Nothobranchius furzeri: one gene and its partner. The protein of the gene in region 1 purifies or fractionates together with the protein of each later gene. This does not show direct contact. Links are inferred from orthologs where the notes say so. Each region holds a gene or a part of one and is shown on either strand. Other genes may lie near its edges.

What was found.
Region 2: the proteins of inpp5ka (region 1) and gart purify together in Homo sapiens (co-immunoprecipitation; 3 studies listed by BioGRID and IntAct, counting the BioPlex papers as one, with this or other methods). This does not show direct contact. The link is inferred for Nothobranchius furzeri from reciprocal best matches to the Homo sapiens genes INPP5K and GART.

Annotation. Positions count from the first base shown.
Region 1 is NC_091753.1:62,185,886-62,190,301, forward strand, and holds the start of inpp5ka (inositol polyphosphate 5-phosphatase Ka), read right to left. Parts: upstream 2,958-4,416; 5' UTR 2,734-2,957; coding exon 2,492-2,733; intron 1,927-2,491; coding exon 1,822-1,926; intron 1,745-1,821; coding exon 1,636-1,744; intron 1,562-1,635; coding exon 1,445-1,561; intron 1,104-1,444; coding exon 928-1,103; intron 1-927. UniProt on the Homo sapiens protein: Inositol 5-phosphatase which acts on inositol 1,4,5-trisphosphate, inositol 1,3,4,5-tetrakisphosphate, phosphatidylinositol 4,5-bisphosphate and phosphatidylinositol 3,4,5-trisphosphate.
Region 2 is NC_091754.1:46,922,784-46,925,667, reverse strand, and holds part of gart (trifunctional purine biosynthetic protein adenosine-3), read right to left. Parts: intron 2,875-2,884; coding exon 2,749-2,874; intron 2,678-2,748; coding exon 2,590-2,677; intron 2,518-2,589; coding exon 2,432-2,517; intron 2,370-2,431; coding exon 2,201-2,369; intron 2,131-2,200; coding exon 1,899-2,130; intron 1,834-1,898; coding exon 1,736-1,833; intron 1,664-1,735; coding exon 1,554-1,663; intron 1,485-1,553; coding exon 1,286-1,484; intron 1,050-1,285; coding exon 798-1,049; intron 716-797; coding exon 563-715; intron 497-562; coding exon 293-496; intron 222-292; coding exon 66-221; intron 1-65. UniProt on the Homo sapiens protein: Trifunctional enzyme that catalyzes three distinct reactions as part of the 'de novo' inosine monophosphate biosynthetic pathway.

The DNA of each region.
Region 1 (4,416 bases):
ACAGCAGCAGATGATCTGTCACCTTTGACCTTTAGCCTGGTGCTGCACAACCAGTAGGCTTTGATCACTGGACCTCAGGGACCTGCTGGGGGTGTAGGGACTGAGAAGATCACCAATGTAAGATGGTGCTTGTCCATGTAAGGCCCTATAGACCAGAACCAGGATCTTGAAATGAACCCTGAAGTTGACTGGCAGCCAGTGAAGCTGGAGGAGAAGCGGGGTGATGTGGGTGTGTTTGGAGGACTTGGTCAGAAGCCGAGCACAGGCGTTCTGAACCACCTGTAGACGGTTCAGGGAGGTTCTGCTCAGACACGTGAAAAGAGAGTTACAGTAGTCTAAGCGTGAGGAGATGAAGGTGTGGAGAACTGTCTCAAGTTCAGAGCGGGACAGAATGGGACTCAGCTTAGCAACGTTCCTGAGATGGAAGAAGGAAGAGCCAACAAGAGAACTGACATGAGAATCCAGGGTGAGAGCTGGGTCAAAGGTCACGCCAAGATTCCTGACAGAAGGTTTGGTGTGAGAAGCAAGCTGACCAAGAGAGTCTCTGACTTTGGGAACCAGCTTGTCTGGGGCACACATGAGGATCTCAGTCTTATCTTCATTCAGCTGAAGAAAGCTCCCACCATCCAGGCTTTGATAGAGTCTAAGCAGGTGTGGAACAGCTGCAGCTTAGACATCTCATGGGGCTCAAGGTGCTTTAGGAAGCAAAACATCCCAATTAAACCTACTAAACAGCGTTCACTTCATTATTCCAGTTAGGTAAGTCTTCCAGCTCTTCCCTCTCAGCTGGCCAGGGAATGTCAGAGTCCTTCAGATCGAGCAGCAGGACAGCTACGGCATTCCAAACGACTGACCAGAACGGGCGGACGTTCCAGCTTTTACTCCAACATCCATACAGAACAGTCTGAGTCTTGTGCGTGCTCTCACCTGTGATCAGATATTCTCGACGCCTTCTTACAGTCAAAGGTCTGCGAGTCCATGATGTACTCAAACTCATCCACTCTTTCTGTGGCATAGTTCATGTGAGCCGTCAGGTGGCAGTTGAGGAAGCAGACCATGTGACCATAAAGGGACAGGCGGATAGACACGCCACCTTTGTTACCCTGAAAACCAAACAAGAGACACACTCTGCAATGCTGTCGTCAGCTCTTAGGCTAAGCTACGTCCTGTTAGCATACAGACCAACTCACACACAGCTTTTGATTAAAACACCTCCTGCTTCTGTGCCTGAGGGAGGAACTCATAATCCGCACGTCTGATCAGCAGCCGCGGATCTTCAGAGGGACCAGCTTTTACTAATTGGTTTGGTTTTAATTTAATAAATAATGACAGAGGGCAATCTGCTCGAAAACGACGCCTGAGGTTGACCTTGAAAGGTAAAATCCTTGAGCAGAAAGAAGGTTGATCTCTCTCTCTCCCTCTCGTGTGTGTGTGTTCTGCTCACCCAGTAGCCAAAGATGCCTGTGCGTGTGTAGGTGGTCTGGATGTCTCTGATGAAGGGGACATGCTCCAGTTTAGAGAAGCAGAGCAGCACCAAACCCTGCATTCTGATAGAAGATACCTGAAACACAGATGCACACCTGAGACGACACACACAGAAACACACACTGATCGTGAGATGGTGTGTGTCCGTACCTTTACATAATTCAGCGGAGCTAAGGTGGACATCAACCGGTGAGTCCACGGGTCATCGAACATCATATCAGACACAAACCTCAGCAGTCCTGAGTAGACCTCCTGCAGACTGAACACACATCTGACCGTCAGGCCAGTCGCTGATGCAGGAGACACTTCTGGAGATAAAAAACAACTCGTCTGTACCCGATGACGTAGAGGTCGGCTCTTTTGGGTGAATTCAGGTGAAGAAGAGCAGCCACATCTTCTGGAGGATCAGCTGTGGCCACGTTCCACGTCACTAGGTGAAGCCTGTGAGACAGGGGGGGGGGGGGGGGGGGGGTTAAGCTGGAAAAGCTCAGATGAATCAACTGAAAATATACCAGCTAGATACTGCTGGTCTTCCTTCCTGACCGCCACCTGCTTTCAGGTAAACACCTCATTTCTCTGGTTGTTAAGAGCACCTACAAGAGTTACTGCAGCAGGGTTGTTCTGTTTCATACGACAGGATAATAAACGTCCATGATATGTGCACATATGTATATTACACAGCCATAGTCACATGGTTACAACCCATGTGCAGCACATTTGTTGCTGCGTTAGCTTTGGAACCAAAGCCTCTTCCACTTCAGAAAAAACAATAACAAGAAAATCCCTCCTGGGCGACAACGCTGTAACATGCAGCTCAGACTCAAACCCACATCCGTTAGACTAATGAACAACAGACTAAAGAGTCACGTCCACTGGAAGGCTCCAGAAGGCAATTACGAGGTTTGATCACAGTGTGATAGGACCAGTCTGGACACAGACACTGTCCAGAAGGAGACCGATTCTAGATTCAGCAGAAAGGCGAGTGAGAAGCTGCAGCATCCTCCACCTGAGTCGGTCCTTCTTTGGCTTGTTGGCTCGTCTCGAGCAGACCAGGAAGGCGCTGTCCAGGGTCCTGACCATTTTCTCATGCAGCTCAGTTTTGGGGTCCAGATCGTCCACACAGGTCATGAGCTGGCTGAGCTGATGGCACAGAGCCAGTTTACTTCCTGTTGACTGTGTGGCATCGGATGAAAGGGTGTTGCTGCGGACGCGTCCAACAGAACCCAACAGCCACCTGGCATCATCCATACCAGCTCAGGGTGTCACCTCCACTGGGTTCAGCTGCCTGCTTGAATACCACAGCCCTGAAGAGACCATTAGTTTATGAATGCGCTAGAGATCGCAAATAAAACAAGAAGCTGAGGCGCGGTAATCCTTTCCCGTGTGGAACCAGCTGGCTGAATGAGGAGACGAGAGTCCAGGCTCTGGGGTTCGGGAGGCAGAGTTTCAGAGCAACTGGGAAACTTGGACTCGTGTACTAAAATAGCTTCTAATCTGCTTGTGAAACATCTCAACAATAGGCCGGTTAAAAGTTGAGAAAATACCTTCCTCGTGTGAACGTAAAGGACTCTCTGTCCCGGGTGAGCTGCTGAGCTCATAACTGCTCTTTCTTCAGCCTGAACAGCAAGACTTTGTTCTTCTAGGGCAAATCCCATTCAGAGCTGCACCGTTAAGCAACATAATCCACCAGCTAGAATGCAGCAGTCTGGTAAACGCAGCACTGTGTTCAGTCCAGCAGCACATTCAGCTCCACAGGCAGATAATCAGGTTGTTCAGGAGCTTACAGGAAGGGACCTTTAACCCTAACCCTAACCTCTGACAAATGCGGACGATGTAAAGCGTGTTTTACGATCAGACAAACAGGTGACTGTTCAGAAATACATGTATATGTAAACTAAATCTAAATACACACAGATCTGCTACTACTTTGGCTCAGACAGATGAGTTAAAGCTTCTGATGCGTTCAGGTGATCCAAAGAAGAAAAACTGCTGAGCTGGTGACTCGGTTACTGATGAATACAGCAAAGGAGACGGACTGGTCCACTGTTCTCAAGTTGCTGAGAAGAAATAGTGTTGTCCATCCATCCACTACCTAAACTGTGTTATCCTCACTAGGGTTGTAGATCCTGACAAAAATGAGATACAGTTTGTGAAGCGCAGCTGTGGTTTGTGTCCTTTAAAGAGAAACTGACAAATAATTCACAAACGGCTCAATAAACAAACAACCTGAGGTTCTGTCTTGGTCTCAACAAGAACCCATTATAAACCCTTATTTCTTTTTATTTTAGGGTTAGGGTTAGGGTTAGGGTTAACCCTTGTCCCTCAACCCAAATCCTCGGATCACGCATTTTAGCTAAAACGCTAACGTTAGCTTGCCTTGCGTTGACTGTAGAGTTGTGGGTGATGGTCACGCAGATGTGTCATGAGATTTGAAGCGTTGCTGCCTTTCACAGACACTTTTTCTGCACGTGCTGCAAACAGGATAGCCGTCTTCTATCAACTGTCCCTCGGCATTCTTCACATATCCAAAAGATGCCCGTACTTCCCACTTTGTCTTCTTTGAGGGATAACAAATGTCCTGAGCGCTGCCGTCTCCTCCTTTGGCCATTATTTCAGCTTTAGCTTCAAGAAAGTTTTGGTTGTAAACAACAAAGCGCGCATGTGCCGCCGGCAACTTCAGCAGATGATACGGTGGCTGGTAAGGGTCACCGCGCCTACACCGCAGCCACAGTAATCCCACCAAGATAATATAGTTCTTTAAAAACAAGACGGTTATTATTATTGTCAACTTTTTTTTTTACCGGGGTTTAACGCTACACCGGTTACCGTGACAACCCTACCTGATCGGTCTGCTTTGATCTATTTTGAAAACTCCACTCAAAACCGATAGGGGCGCTATCGGCCGATTGGGATCAAATGCCGATCCATCGG
Region 2 (2,884 bases), on another chromosome or scaffold:
TAGAGGTCCAAAACACAGATTACCCATAAAGTACAACCTCACAGATTATCTTCTCAACATCACACCTGTTCCTGAGATGAGCACCCCCACTCTCATGCGCTTGTGTTGTGTGATGCCATTTCCATGGCAACCGCTGGTGGAGACCTCTGGCTCCTCGCCAGAAGCTCCTCCCACATTCAGCAGGCTCTGGGTCAGGTTACGGACCATCACGGCCGGTGCTCCTGTGTCACAAACGCACCATGAGAAACCGAGGTGGTCGATGTCGGAGCCCAGAGGTTCTCCATTCTCTAACCGGGTTGTTTGTGGACCACAGAACCGACGATCCAAGCGTCCAGGTGGACCTGGAGCTGGCGCAGGACCCTCTGAGCATCAACGGGGGCCACCACAAGCACCGCCCCCACGCCACAGTTAAAGGTTCTGCTCATCTCCTCCTCACTCACACGGCCTTCGGTGTGGAGCCAGGAGAAGACCGGAGGGATGGTCCAGCGGGATGCGTCTATGTCATGGAGACACGTTAGCATTAGCACACGTTAAACATCCCATAATCATCCTCTCCTCTCACCTAACTCCACAGCCAGCTCCCGGGGCAGAACCCGGGGGATGTTCTCCAGGAGACCCCCCCCTGTGATGTGAGCGTACGCCTTGACGGCGCCGCTGCGCAGGACCGGCAGCAGCGGCCGGCTGTAGATGTTGGTGGGAGTCAGCAGGACCTCGCCTGAAACCGCAGCAGAAGGAGAAGAGGACGATTATCCCTAAAGCTGAGCAGGAATATCAGGAATGCTGATCCTAACCCTCACCGACGCTCTGGCCCTGCCTCCCAAACGGAGCGGGGGCGCTGTAGCTCAGCCCGGCCTGCTCCAGGACCTTACGGACCAGACTGAACCCGTTACTGTGGACCCCCGAGGACGCCAGCCCGATCAGCAGGTCCCCCTCAGAGATGTCCTCCAGCCTAGGCAGCAACCCCCCTCGCTCCACCGCCCCCACACAGAACCCCGCCAGGTCGTACTCGCCCGGGGCGTAGACGCCCGGCATCTCCGCCGTCTCGCCGCCTGTCAGAGGACAAACACGGCATCAGCATCTTTTGTACGTTCTTTCTGTGTTTATCTTCAAATTCCATTTTTGGTTCTTTTTTAAACACAAATAAGGTTTTTCTTTACCTTGCTGACGTTTCGTTGGCGGCCGCCAACGAAACGTCAGCAAGGTAAAGAAAAACCTTATTTGTGTTTAAAAAAGAACCAAAAATGGAAAATGAAACATATTGGTCATCTGTAATAACCCAACTGACCCAGCAGAGCGCAGCCGGCCGCCTCACACGCCTTAGCGATGCCACCGACGACCACAGAGGCCACGCCCACATCCAGCCTCCCGCAGGAAAAGTAGTCCAGGAAGAAGAGAGGCTCCGCCCCCTGAGCCAGCACATCGTTGACACACATGGCCACCAGGTCCTGACCCAGACCACCGTGCTGGCCACACGCCTGCGCCACCTGGTGGGAGGTCAAACAAAGGTCACGTAAGCTCCAGACCTGGAGACAGAACCACAGCAGGAGTCCAACCTTGAGTTTGGTCCCGACGCCGTCCGTCCCCGAGACCAGAACCGGGTCGACGAACCCCGCTGCCTTCAGGTCAAAGAGCCCGGCGAATCCTCCGAGTTCAGCGTTACATCCTGAGACAAAGTTCAGACTTTAGCGGCACGGCCGGACCCCAGAGCCGGTAAAACCCAGGTTACCATGGTTACCGGGGCGTGACGTGGCCTTGGCCAGAGGTCTGATGATGTCCACCAGCTTGTTCCCCGCAGCGATGTCCACTCCGCTGTCCTTATAGGTCAGGCCGCAGCTGGACACAAACAAACTTTAGCTTCTAGCGTTTCACGATGAGCAAAGCTCACCGTGATCCCTCACCGGTTCTGGTTCAGGTGGGCCAAGGCCCGGTGGCCGATGTCTCTACGGTACACGGCCCCAGGGAAGTCCACGGCGGCTGCGCCCTGATTGGCTGCCTGCAGGGCGGTCTCCAGAGACGGTCTTACAGCTGTGACCGTCAGAACTCGACCTCCACTGGACACCACGACTCCGCCCTTCAGGGCGGTGCCGGCGTGGAACACCTGCAGTCCCATGTCCTGGACCAGGGACAAACCTGGAGGACAACAGGTCAGACGCACCTGCAGCCCTGACATCAGCTGCAGCAAAAGCAGCGGAGACCTTACCTCGGATCTCCACCCCTCTCTGGTAGGAACCCGGGTACCCAGCGCTGGCCAGAACCACCGTGACTGCAAAGCTGTCCTGGAGCCACACGGGGGCGCTGGAGGACAGCTTCCCACTCATGGTGTCGAGTATCACCTGGTGCAGGTCGCTCTGCAGCAGCGGCAGCAGCACCTGCAGAGAGCCCCAGGTGTAATCTAATCCAGACTCTAATCCCATTCCCACCTGAGACCCACCTGACACTCCGGGTCTCCAAAGCGACAGTTGAACTCCAGAACCTTCGGGCCCTGCTGGGTCAGCATCAGACCTGCGTACAGCACACCTGAACCAAACAAACCACCGTAAGTCAGAACCGGTCCCAGTAAAACCCGGGTAGATAAATAAAAACACTAACCCACGTAGGGGGCCCCCTCCTCCTTCATCCCATCTACGGTTCTCTGCAGAACCGACTCTCGGATCTGCTGCAGCATCTCCAGACTCACCTGTTCAAATCAAACCTATTTAACGGTTCTGAGGGGATCAGCTGGGGGTTCTTCGCGGGTTCTGCTTCTACCTGAGGAGTCGGGCTGTACGCTCCCATCCCGCCGGTGTTTGGACCCAGATCTCCGTCCCGAAGCCGTTTGTGATCCTGGGCTGGAGGCATGGGCGCCACGGAGACGCCATCGCTGAAACACAGACACTACAGAGCA